Linked DNA regions of Coturnix japonica. The protein of the gene in region 3 binds, or shares a complex with, the protein of the main gene of each other region. Links are inferred from orthologs where the notes say so. Each region holds a gene or a part of one and is shown on either strand. Other genes may lie near its edges.

The links.
Region 1: the proteins of CLOCK (region 3) and ARNTL are in contact, whole or in part, in a crystal structure (PDB 4F3L), measured with the Mus musculus proteins. The link is inferred for Coturnix japonica from reciprocal best matches to the Homo sapiens genes CLOCK and BMAL1. Residues at the interface, in NP_001276755.1 of Mus musculus: Arg46, Gln49, Phe50, Leu53, Ile54, Glu56, Leu57, Met60, Leu61, Pro62, Lys70, Ser71, Leu74, Gln75, Ser77, Ile78, Phe80, Leu81, Arg82, His84, Lys85, Thr88, Glu95, Ile96, Gln98, Asp99, Trp100, Pro102, Phe104, Leu105; in XP_030097882.1 of Mus musculus: Lys70, Met71, Phe74, Ile75, Glu77, Leu78, Ser80, Leu81, Val82, Asp93, Leu95, Leu98, Arg99, Ala101, Val102, His104, Met105, Lys106, Leu108, Arg109, Gly110, Ala118, Tyr120, Lys121, Pro122, Phe124, Leu125, Asp127, Asp128, Glu129.
Region 2: the proteins of CLOCK (region 3) and CIPC are in contact, whole or in part, in a crystal structure (PDB 5VJI), measured with the Mus musculus proteins. The link is inferred for Coturnix japonica from reciprocal best matches to the Homo sapiens genes CLOCK and CIPC. Residues at the interface, in NP_001276755.1 of Mus musculus: Gln519, Leu526, Lys527, Leu530, Arg533, Ile537, Asn540, Ile541, Arg543, Gln544, Glu547, Leu548, Ile551, Gln554, Leu555, Val558; in XP_006515773.1 of Mus musculus: Asn401, Thr402, Val405, Leu406, Ser409, Leu411, Ile414, Thr415, Thr418, Leu421, Ile422, Asn425, Thr428, Gln429, Leu432, Leu435, Lys436, Thr439, Gln440, Phe442, Ile443, Thr446.

What each region holds. Positions count from the first base shown.
Region 1 is NC_029520.1:11,920,015-11,924,292, forward strand, and holds the start of ARNTL (aryl hydrocarbon receptor nuclear translocator-like protein 1), read right to left. Parts: upstream 2,892-4,278; 5' UTR 2,774-2,891; intron 1-2,773. UniProt on the Homo sapiens protein: Transcriptional activator which forms a core component of the circadian clock.
Region 2 is NC_029520.1:35,437,970-35,441,617, reverse strand, and holds part of CIPC (CLOCK-interacting pacemaker), read right to left. Parts: intron 3,391-3,648; coding exon 2,512-3,390; 3' UTR 1-2,511.
Region 3 is NC_029519.1:58,711,504-58,715,151, reverse strand, and holds part of CLOCK (circadian locomoter output cycles protein kaput), read right to left. Parts: intron 3,359-3,648; coding exon 3,269-3,358; intron 2,187-3,268; coding exon 2,066-2,186; intron 1,504-2,065; coding exon 1,390-1,503; intron 601-1,389; coding exon 482-600; intron 1-481. UniProt on the Homo sapiens protein: Transcriptional activator which forms a core component of the circadian clock.

The DNA.
Region 1 (4,278 bases), on a different chromosome or scaffold from region 3:
TTCTAAGAATAATAAGGTGAAAGTTTCATACCCCACGTAAGGTTGTGAAGTACTAAAACTTGAGTTATTCTGTGTGTTCCGTAATCTTACTGAAAACAAGGAAGCTACGCAAGCTTAAAATTATGTATTTATATGAGTCTTTGCAATTATTGGAATACATCTTTACATGTTTTCTGTAGAAGAAAATTGTCTTCAGCTTTTCAGAGAACTCTACATTTGCTGGCATTGGAAGATATAACCAGATGCTTACCACTTTTCTGCTCTTTCAGAAGTACGCTATGGACAGAATTGCCATGATAAAGGTTAAAAGTCAGAAGCACACAAGTTCTGTAACTAAAGAAAGCCCCTGAGGGATCCACCAAACTCAGTGCTTTGTCCTGACAACTCTATTTCTTCCAGTTTCCCTGTACCTCCTGTCAAACCATTAGCACACAGACAACCAGCTCCATGCTGGAAAGAAAATATTGAAGTTGAGTGTGAAACAGCACTTATGTATTCATCTAAATTAATTAGCCTATGTGTCTCTATGCCTTTCTAGTTTGCTTGATTGCAATTTGCTTTTAGAAATGGTTTTACTCATTTGCAGCACTCAGGCTGTGGCTATCACATTAGGTTTCATCTTTGTCATCACAGCCTTGGATAGCGACGAGGAACTGTGCATAACAAAGCTCTGCCAAGTAAATCCAGTGAGTGTTCATTTGTTCCCTTTCCTGGTTTCCCAAAAGAAATCCTTGAGAGTAGATATTTAGTGGGAAAAGAAGCCTTCAATAAGCCAGCCCTATAAAGGTGACCTTCCTAATACCCCCTTATCAGTGGTCTTTGTGCATAGCATGTTTCTTGGTGGCTGGCAATGGCAGTGATCTAGCAGCCGGCCCTCCTTGGCCCTGTCTTTGGGAAAGCCCAGCAGCAGGTAGATTTACGGATGCTCCTGTAATATACAGAAGGCCCTGCAGGAACACAAGGCAGCTTTCCTTAGGTTCCTCCAGTACCTGCAGAGGCAGCACCCCAGTGTATCCCTTATACAGATGTGGAGTCCTCTATGCTGCATCCACCACAGCTACAATGAGAACAGACTATGGACACGTGCAATACAAAAGAGAACAGAATCATTAAATCGCATAATGGCTTTGGCTAGAAGGAACCCCAAGGATCAGGTTCCAACCCCCCAGCACAGGCAGGATTGCCAACCATCAGATCAAGCACAAGATCAGTCTGCTCAGAGCCCCATCCAACCTGACCTTGAACACCTCCAGGGACAGAGTATCCACGCTCATTTTGGGCAGCCTGTTCCAGCACCTCAGCCTCCTCTCAGTAAAGCAACTCCCCCGATATCTAATGTGAATCTTCCTTCCTTTAGTTTAAAATCATTCCCCCTGGCTGATCACTATCTACTTGTCTTACAAGTTGTTTTCCCTCCTGTTCCTGAGCTCCCTTTAGATACTGGAAAGCCAGAGTCTTCCTACAGCTGCTTCTTCTCCAGACTAAGTCCAGCTCCTTCAGCCTTTGTAGAAGAGGTGCTTCAGCCCTTTGATCATCCTGGCAGCTCTCCTCTGGACCCTCTCTACAAGCCCCACATCTTTCCTGTGTTGAGGGCCTCAGACTTGGATGTAATACCAATACTTGTAATACTTGGATCATACTGTTATTTCACAGTCCATTTCCACATGGAGACATAAAATCATGAATAGCCACAAGAAGCACCAGCCCACAAAGCCCAGAAGTAGTAAAGGTTTTCTCCTAATAGACGGAACATGGTTTAAAACATCCAGGTGAGAGCCCTCCAGTTTCTGCCACCTGAAAGAGCTGTTGGCATATTCCTACAGCACAGCAAGCACACGTTCTTTGGGGGCAGAGTTTAACTTCAGCCTTGTGCAGGACGCTGAGCACAGAACCAGTCGGCCGGCAGCTCCAGCCAATGGAAACCAACCAGCCTTCCTTCCTTCCCTGCAAACAGCAGCAGCCTGGGCGCTACCAGTTGCTCCCACCTAGTAGCCTTATTGGTAAAACAGAACCAAACGGGTACGGATGGGAGCTTGATTCAACCCGCTCGAAAGAAACTGCAATGAAGTTTCAATCCGAATGCCTGCGAACCAAGGGTGGGAATATAAGATTCAGAATGATTCCGAAATCATTTAAGAACGTTAGGCGCGTCACCAGTTGACCCTTTTCACCTCGGAGACCAAGCAAATATGTAGAAGTCACGACGGGCATCTTCGCAAGCACACCCGCTTGTTTCCTCACCGTTATTTCAACCAAACCCTTTCCAGAACTGTCACCGTCGAGGCACTGGAGTCACAGAAACCCCAACCGCTGGGCAGGCAGCCTGGTTCCCTGCACACACACACACACAGCCGCGATCACGGGTAGACCTTCCCGGCACCTGGAAGCGTTGTTCTGGCTGCAGCACGGATCCGTCCCGCAGCTGCCCCAACCCGCTGCCACCGCCCGGCCTGCCCGGAGCCGCCCGCATCCCCCGGGCGCTGCCATCTCTCGTAGCTCCGGCACACACGCTCCCGGGGCCCGGCTTTGCCGTGAGACCCCGGGGCACGAGGGCGGGCGGAGGGATGCGGGCGGGGAAGAGGCACCGCGTTTCCCCTCCTCCCTCCCGGCCCCGCTCTGCCCCGTGGCCGGCTGCCACCCGCCGCCTCCTGCTCCGGTCAGGTCGGCCCGCTCCGTCCGCATCTCCCTCCCGGCCCGCTGGCCCCGGGGAAGCCGCTCCCGTGGCCGCCCGTTAGCGCCCCCCTCCCCTTCCCACCCGCCCACCGCCGCTCACCGCTCACCCCCTCTCGTTGCCGCGCCCCGGGCCGTGTTGTGGGGGGGGGTCGCCGTCCGTGGGCACCGCGCGTGGCTCGGAGCGGCACCCGCCGCGGGCAGCCCCCGTCCCTGACCTACTTTCCGCCTGGCTTGCCACCCAACGGCGCACCACTAACCTACTTTCCAGCCAATCGCACCCTCCCCCGGACCAGCACCGGACGCGCCCGCCCGCCAATCAGAGAGCGGCTCCCGAGAGGCCTCGTCCAATGAGAGGCCGGCAACGGGGCAACGCCCGCCCTCTTGAGTGGAGGCCAATCCGCGGGCGCTCCTGGAGCGGCAGCCAATCGGAGAGCCGGCCGGGAGTTTTGATTCCGCCCCCCTCAGCATTGGGCGCGGTGTCCCGGATGTGGCGGTGGCGGGCGTTATAGTGGCCGGTCATCGCTGTGAGCACATTGTGTATAGTGGGTATAAAGGTGTTTGTAACAAGGCGGGTGGTGAGGAACTGGTACGTATTGCACAGAGATACGGTGGAAACCCAGTGCCCAGAGACTGTCATGGTCGGGGCTCTGAGCAACCTGACCTCACTGTGCCCCTGTACATCAAATAATAGAATTACTCAGGTTGGAATGGATCTCAGGGATCATCGAGTCCAACCACAACCCAACCATGCCACCCTCACAAGCCTCCATTCAATCCTGTCCCTGAGCACCACATCCAGGGATGGTGACTCAACCACCTCCCTGGGCTGCTGTGAACACCTTTCAGATACTATAAGAGAGCAATAAGGTTTCCCCTCACCCTACTTTTCCCCATCTAAACAGCCCCAGTTCCTTCAGTCTCTTCTGGAGAGACTCCAGCCTGGAGTTGAACTGGATGCCCTTTAAAAGTCCACTCCAACACAATCGACTCTATTATTCTGTCATCTTTTAGCAACCGTTTTACTGTTTGGATTTGGTTTAGTGCACAGAAGTTCCGGAGGTGGAGAAATCTCCTTGACTACTTCTTTCTCACAAGTCTTCATAGTTTTCATTGTTGTTTCTACCCACCTGTAGAAATCATCTTCCTGTTGCGTTCAGCCACACACTGTCAGCCTTAATGAGCCCAGTGACTGCTGTAGGGCTTGATGCCAAGAGTAATGATCTTTTGTTATTTCTGTAGGAAAGCAGCTTAGCAGGCCATATGTCATATTTCCCAGTAAATGATTGTTTTGAATTGTTTCTATTAATGAGAAATTAAAGGAAATAACAGCATCTGGTTAATCAAATTCTGGTTTTCAGCATATGATGTTGTATACCAATCCCATTCTGCTACATTCTTTAAAATAAATCTTAAGTTCAGTGCAGTAAAAATTTTTGTGTAGTTTAATAAGGCTTTTTATAACCAACTGTTACACCCTTTAAATTTCAAGGGTACAACGATTATCACCCAAGAGCTAAGAAATCACAAGTTGAAGCGAGTTCTACAGTCACCACAATAGAGTTTTCATCATTCTTCCAGCTTGTGTCTGTATACTGCAGAAAGAAG
Region 2 (3,648 bases), on a different chromosome or scaffold from region 3:
AAGTCTACAACAGCATTCTCCACAGCCTTCTCTAATCTTGATTCCCAAAGGCGTCAGAAAATGAAGGGGTGTAACCACAAACTAGCAAGAGTTCTATTATAATTTCAAGTACCCTTTTTAAGAATCTGAAGTGAAGTGATCAGAGCATCAAAATACCCAGTGATCTACATGGCACAATTTTTGGAAAGCATTTTAAAGTGGAAATGAACACACTATAAGCAATCTATATTTCTTAGCCTTCATAGGGAGACACTCTTAGTTCTTTTACATAGACTGCCTCTGGTAAAAAACATACAAACCCTTTTTATTGAAGGGACTGACACAAGTGTCCAGATAAACTGACATCTGTAGAATAGCTTTTGCAACTGACTACTGCAGATGTCTGCTAATAACACTGAATAAGATGTTAGGCCTTAACTACATTTCATGTCAAGCAGGTTAGGGATGAGATACATTTATGTGGAAGAAAATAATTTTAATTTCAAATTCAAGCAGATAAAACTTATAGTAAGATTTTCCAAGTTGACATCTTTTTATATAGTTATTTTTAAGTACACACATTTACTAAATTTCCCTCAAAAAGGAGGGAAGGGAGATGGTAGGACTTGTTTTACCGTGAGCCAATATGCCCCTTTTCCTCTCACTTCTCTCCTTTTTTTCCATTCTTAGCAATTGATCTCACAGATTCACAGAATTGTAAGGGCTGGAAGTGACCTCTAAGGATCATCTAGTCCAACTCCCTGCCAAAGTAGGCTAACTAGACCAGGTTACACAGGTAGGCATCCATGTGGGTCTTAACTCCAGAGAAGGTGTCTTCACATCTCTCTGAGCAGCCCATTCCAGTGCTCTGTCACTGTTACCATGAAGAAATCTCTATGCACATTTGAGCAAAACTTCCTATGCTTCAGTTTGTGGCCATTCCCCCTTGTCCTGTTACCACTGCTGAAAAGAGTCTGGCCTCATCCCTCTGCCTTCTGCACCTTAGATGTTCATGAACACTGATCAAATCCCCTCTCAGTCTTCTTTTTTCAAGGCTGAACAGGAATAGGTCGCTCAGCGTTTCCTCAAAAGAGGGGTGCTCCAGGCCCTTTATCATCTTTGTGGCCCTCTACTGGACTCTTTCCAGAAGATCCCTGTCTTTTCTGTACTGGGGAGCCCAGAACTGGACACAGTACTCCAGGTGAGGACTCACCAGGGCAGAGTAGAGGGGGAAGATCATCACCCTTGACCTGCTGGCCATGCTCTTTTTAAGGCATCTGAGAATGCCATTGGCATTCTTGGCCACCAGGGCACACTGATGGCTCATGGACAACCAGCTGTACAGCAGGACACCCAGGTCCCTCTCTGCAGATCTCCTTTCCAGCAGGTCACCCTCAACCTGTACTGGTACATGCAGTTATTCCTCCCTAGGTGCAAGATTCATCACTTGCTCTTGTTAAACCTAACCTGGTTCCTCTCTGCCAAACTCTTCAGCCTGTTCAGGTCTCGCTGGCACAACCTTCTGGTGTATCAGCCATTCCTCCTAGCTTCGTATCGTCAGCAAACTTGCAGAGCGTGGACGTTATCCCCTCATCAGCATCACTGATGAAGATATTGAACAAGATCGGAACAATTTCACAGAAAAAAAAAAAAAAAAAAGGAGGAGTTCAGCCTTACAAACAAAAGATTTACACATAAAATAACCTTTAACTAGTCTTGCCAAATTAACCCTGGTAAACAAGTATCTTCCTTGCATTATGTTAAAAAACACCTCTGCATTCTACCAAGAAAATCCAAAGCCACTTTCCCTGTACACTTTTTAGTCACTAATGGGTAGTGCAAATAAATACAGCTTTGAAACAAATACTTGCAGTGCAAGCCTTGCAATTCTCATTCACTCATCTTTACAGATCACAATCCAACGTATGCTCATCAAAAATCAAGTCACTGGGCTCCTAAGACTCATCACTTTGGTCAAAGATTGCAATAAATACAGAATGCTGCTTCACCACAAGCAGATCTCCACTAATTCAGAACAAGTGTAACCCCAAAAGCAAGACTTCTGTCAACAGTCAGCAGTCTCATATCACCCCACCAAGCTAAGCTTCTTCTCCTCACACCTACTCTCTTTATCATCTACTTGCAACTGGTGATAGCCCAATACTGAGGACTGTTTTGCTATGCCACTCTCAGAACTGACTATCTGAAGATGGAAATAGGAAGAAACTTGCTTGCATAATTCTGCAAATGACTGTCTTCTCACAGCAAGAATGGGAACATGCCAGCAGAGCACATCCAAGCTTCTGAAGTTCAAGAAAGTATAGAGTTAGTATGAAGTTCAAGGTCACACTGGAGTAGTGAGTATTCATCTTGTCAAGATCCCACTGTGCTGCCCCAGTCCCATGACTGGCTGTAAAGACAAGTTGTAAATGTCATGCCATCTTACACATCTTGGACTCAGTACGTTCAAATAAAAGCTTGACAAAGGAAATAGGAGGCACAGGAATAATTTAACAGCTATGTACCATTTTACTACATGTTTGGATAAGTGGAATCTTCAAGGTTGCTATTAGCTTTATCTGAACCTGTTAAAGATGCTTCTAGCTCTGCCCATGACTGTGGAGCATTGTTCTTTATTGCCTCTATGAAAAGTTGTGTTTGGTGCTTCAGCCTGTCCAGCTCAGCTTGAGTCACCTGGTTCTGATGAATGAGCTCCTTGGTTTTTAAAGTGATCTCCAGCAATCCTGACCTACGTAGCACAACGAGTGTATTCTGAAAACGTCTGCACTTACTTTGCTGTTGCAAAAGCAGCTCAGGGGTAGTGCAAGTCTCTTCTGGTATCAATGGCAGGCTCCACACCGCAGACTGCATTGTAGTTTGTGCTTCACTCTCATTCTCATGAGGAGTGCACTTTGCCGTCTGTAGAGTTCCAAAAGGCAACAGAGAAGCCAAGCCTGGAACTTTTGGAGTGTCAGCAGAAACACAGTGGAAACCAGGAAGAGTTGATAATTTTCCAGTTGTCATCAAACTTGAAGAACTTTGCTGGTTAGAATCCTGAGGAGCCTTAAAGCTTACTGGTAGGTGGGAAAAAGGACTAGTAGACAAACCTGTGCTCCTTGATACAGGAGAAGTATCCATTTTAGATGCTTCTGTGCAGAGTCGTTTACGGCAACTGGTTTCCTGACGTTCCTCTAGATCGAAGGAGTGATCTCTTTTGCAGGGCTGTGGTGCTATTTTGGGGTAAGAGTTCAGGATGGGCAAGTAGTTAGTGGAATCGTTTCTCTTTTTCCCAGCAGGGTGAGGGTTAATGGGAGGTGGGATTGATGGGTGAAGAAATACCAGCTGTGGCTGAGCTGGAATCACTTCAAAGGATGGCTGGACAGTCCAAGACTGGAGCTGGGACGAACTCCCCTGAGAAGCATAAATGGGGAAAAACACAATTCTTACAGCAGTGCTATTGATAATGATTAAAAAAATCTTAAGCAAAACAGGTGGATTACATCATTTCTTCATAACTGATGCATGCTACACAATATAACATATTGTGAACAGCTTATTATCAAACTCATTGTTCTCTTCTCTGACAACAGAACCACACACTAGAATCAAAGCTGAAAACCACATATAGAGAATACATTTTAAAACAATTCAATTTATACACACCTTCCC
Region 3 (3,648 bases):
TTTTTAAATCCAGGCTTACCTCAAGTTAGTGGATAATTTTACAATAGGTAAAGGATTTGTAAATTTCATTGAGATTTTTGGTTAGTAGCATAGCACTGAGGTAGAATCTAACATCAGCCATGTGAGGCCGACACTCAGATGATTTAAATGCAGCTGGTAAACTCATGCTCAGTGTCTACAAGCACAGCGGTACAAGCAGTACATGCTTATAATGGGGAAGAAGTACCATTATGAAGATGGTCACCTTACTTTGGCTTTACAAATAGGACACAGAATACACTAAATCTTTACTTCAGCTACTGCAGGAACTTGCAACAGTACTCCCGTAGTAAGAAATATGGACATTTTCAGTTTCATATGACAGAACTCCTTATGATTTCCATCAATATTATCTGAAGTGCTCTATGCATTTTCTCTAAAGTGTTCCTGTTCAGAGTACGGTTAAAAATGTATAAAACTGATATGATATAAAAGTGCATACCTTGATAAACTGAGGTGTAGCTAATCTAACTGTGGCTATAAAGCAAACTTTGTCTTCATATGAAGGCCGGTGCGACCGCTGAATAGTTCCTTCAAAACCATTGTGTGCTGAATTGGGAACTGACGGAAGACAGAGAAGAGGTCAGCAAAGGTTACTACAGAGGCATGGAGGAGAACGGCAGTCACATCACAACTCAAATGGATCAGTATTTATCATCATATTTGATCTTTACAGACCTGTTTTTCTAGCTTTTCTAAAGCATCAGATACTGAGCACAGCCCACAGTCCACCTATCTGACAAACCAAACAGATGTGCTACACAAGCTACTCTGCACAGGCAAGCAAACTTAAGATGCTGTAGTACAGAAGTGGGAATAATGACTAATAAGTTCAGTGGATGAGAGAGGTCACTCAGTGCAGAAAAGCAAAATCCTATAACAGTCCGTCCACTGATCTGAGCAGTAACTGTGAAAGCAGAAACTGCGGGGGGAGGAGTGCAGAACACGCATTTTTCTTGTCAGCTCACTAAGAACGATGAGAACAGCAGATACTTAGTATTGGTGATCCTGAAGTAACTTAGCCACCTGCTTAAATACAGATTATACTTAATTCAGGCTCTTACTTCAAAGTGTCGACTTAAATTTCTCTCGTGCTCTGTTTAAAAATGTTTTGCAGCTTTCTTTAACTGAAAGACTGAATATTTTGCCTACAAATGCACGTATGTGCAATATCTGATGGGCCGTCTGACTTTGTTTTCATTAAAACAAGAAAAAATTGATGTAACTCTGTTTCAGGCTCTTTTCAAAGACCGATTTTAGCTTTTCCTTAAGTTTTGCACTGTCATCCTAAGCCTGTTCACATATGAAGCTCCCAAAGTATTCCACTCTAATATGACTGAAATTACTTACCATTATTCAAACACTTGAAATTTCCTATGAATTTTACATATTCATATGTAGGTTGCTCTTTTGGGTCTATTGTTCCTCGCAGCATATGGCAGCAGAATTCTAGCTGATTTTTTGCTGAAAAAAGAGCAAACAAATTAAAAGATTGCGTGGTTGATGAAACACACAGGGAACAAGAAACTGAAAGCAGGAATAATTAAGTTGTGCGCTTTACTGTGATGCTGTAAATGTGGTGATTACGAGTAACTACAGCTTTTGCTTTTAGCCAGCGTGATATTAGCTAAGCTAAAGAAAAGGAAAACTCATTTGGAATGTGTGTGTGATAGGACTGAATGTCAACAACATAGAGATCCCGTGAAAAAAATAGAACCATTTTAAACAAGCATCTGCCCAAAACGTAACTTTATGTCCTTCCAACACTCATGGCCTGTTTTCATTCTTGTCAGCTGCTAGAATGGTCTAAATAGAAGCTATGTAAACAAAGTCATAGAGTGAAATGCCGCGCAACACAAAATTACTCTTCAGGGAAAAGAGGAACAGCACAGCATGAAAGTGTTTCCATTCAAGTTGTGCGTTTCATTCTGAATGTCTCATCTACACACTTCCACTTACACAGCACTGCAAAAAGGAACTAATCACATACAACATGAAGGGGATTGTTCTTAATGCAAATACTTACATTTTAAGTATTCTGGTGTCAATGAATCACTTTCCAGCAGATGAGAAGACAGAATTTTATAGATTTCTGAATGTTCCCCCTCTGGGATAAAATTAAATACACTCTGATCCACAAGATCAGACTGAAAGGGAAATATTTAATACATTTTAAAATAACGCAAGACATACAAGATCACAAATGTTACTATTTTGGTGCAAAACAATTCCAGAGAAAGAAAACAAAATCAATTCAGAAAAAGATCACTGAAATATTACTAACTCATTACCGTCACTTGATGGATTACATGCAAACACTTTGCAGGTAAAAAAAAACAACCACCATTTTCATTTGCTTTGACACTGAATCATTTAATGAAGATGCCATGAATGCATCAGATATGCATGCACATATAAGTACAGTGGAACTTCTATTAATCTCTCCGGGTGGTAAATAAAGCAGCATTTAAACGAGAAATTATATAATGGTGGTGTAGTGCATTGTAATCTGTCAGTGGCAATCAACACATCCAAACAGCATTTTGTAACAAAAAGCAGCACCTCCCTACAACCCTACATCAATTCTTCTCTTACCACTGTAAGACAACTTGCCTGTACCAATTATTTGTCCATCTCTTCTAGCTCTGCTTCACTCAGTAACTCTACATCTTTGAGACCTAATGTTTCTCATTTCTTAGTGATATTATTCAAAGGTAACTTCTTAGCAGCAAGCAATGTCAACAAAATTCAAGATGAGTGAATGTGACAAAACTCAAAGTATTCACCTAGCCTAAAAAGCAGAATCAGCAATAATGCATTTCTTATGAGAGTTCTTTGGCAAATAAGCAAAAGTAAAAAAACAGTTAAAAAAAATTCCAAGGTACTGCTCTTTAGCAATATTCTTCTGATTCATGTAGAGGCCACTACGGGAGTGAACTCTAAAGGACCTCCTATAGTCACATCTGTTGTTATAGTCATGTTGAAGAGAAACTGACGCTAGTCTGGTAATACTTAATCCTGCCTAAGAGAGCACCAGCTGCATTCTGCATATCCGAAGGAAATATTTAATGTAGAACACAAACCAGGAGCAAGGATTTGTGCAAAAGCATGAGAATACCGTACACATCTGCCCAACTATAATGCCCAAAAGAACAAAGATTATTAGTACTTGTAGTAGAATATCACCCACAGACAAACTGGCACATTACTGAAAGGAATTCATACTTACTGGCAAATGTTCAAGTAAAGGAGTTACACTTTCAGACACATATATTATATTTCCATCTGTCATAATTGCTAAAAAAAAACCATCAAGAGCCTGAAATTAAACATAATAGGCAGTTAAATAAAAAGAAACTGCATGTTAAAAGTGTTAAGCTATATGCAACACTGAAAAGAATTTAGACCAATTTTAATTAAATTTATTATAACAATGAGAGTTCTGTATTAAAACTCCCTAGTCTTGCTTTTACACTGTGAGCATTACAATTTCCATATGCTCTGTTCTCAAATAATCTATGATTTCACAGGCAAGATTTTGGTCCTTACGCATCTAGCCGTTGTTTACTTGGCTCTGAGGCCTGCCATCTTGTCTGCTTGTTATTTTTA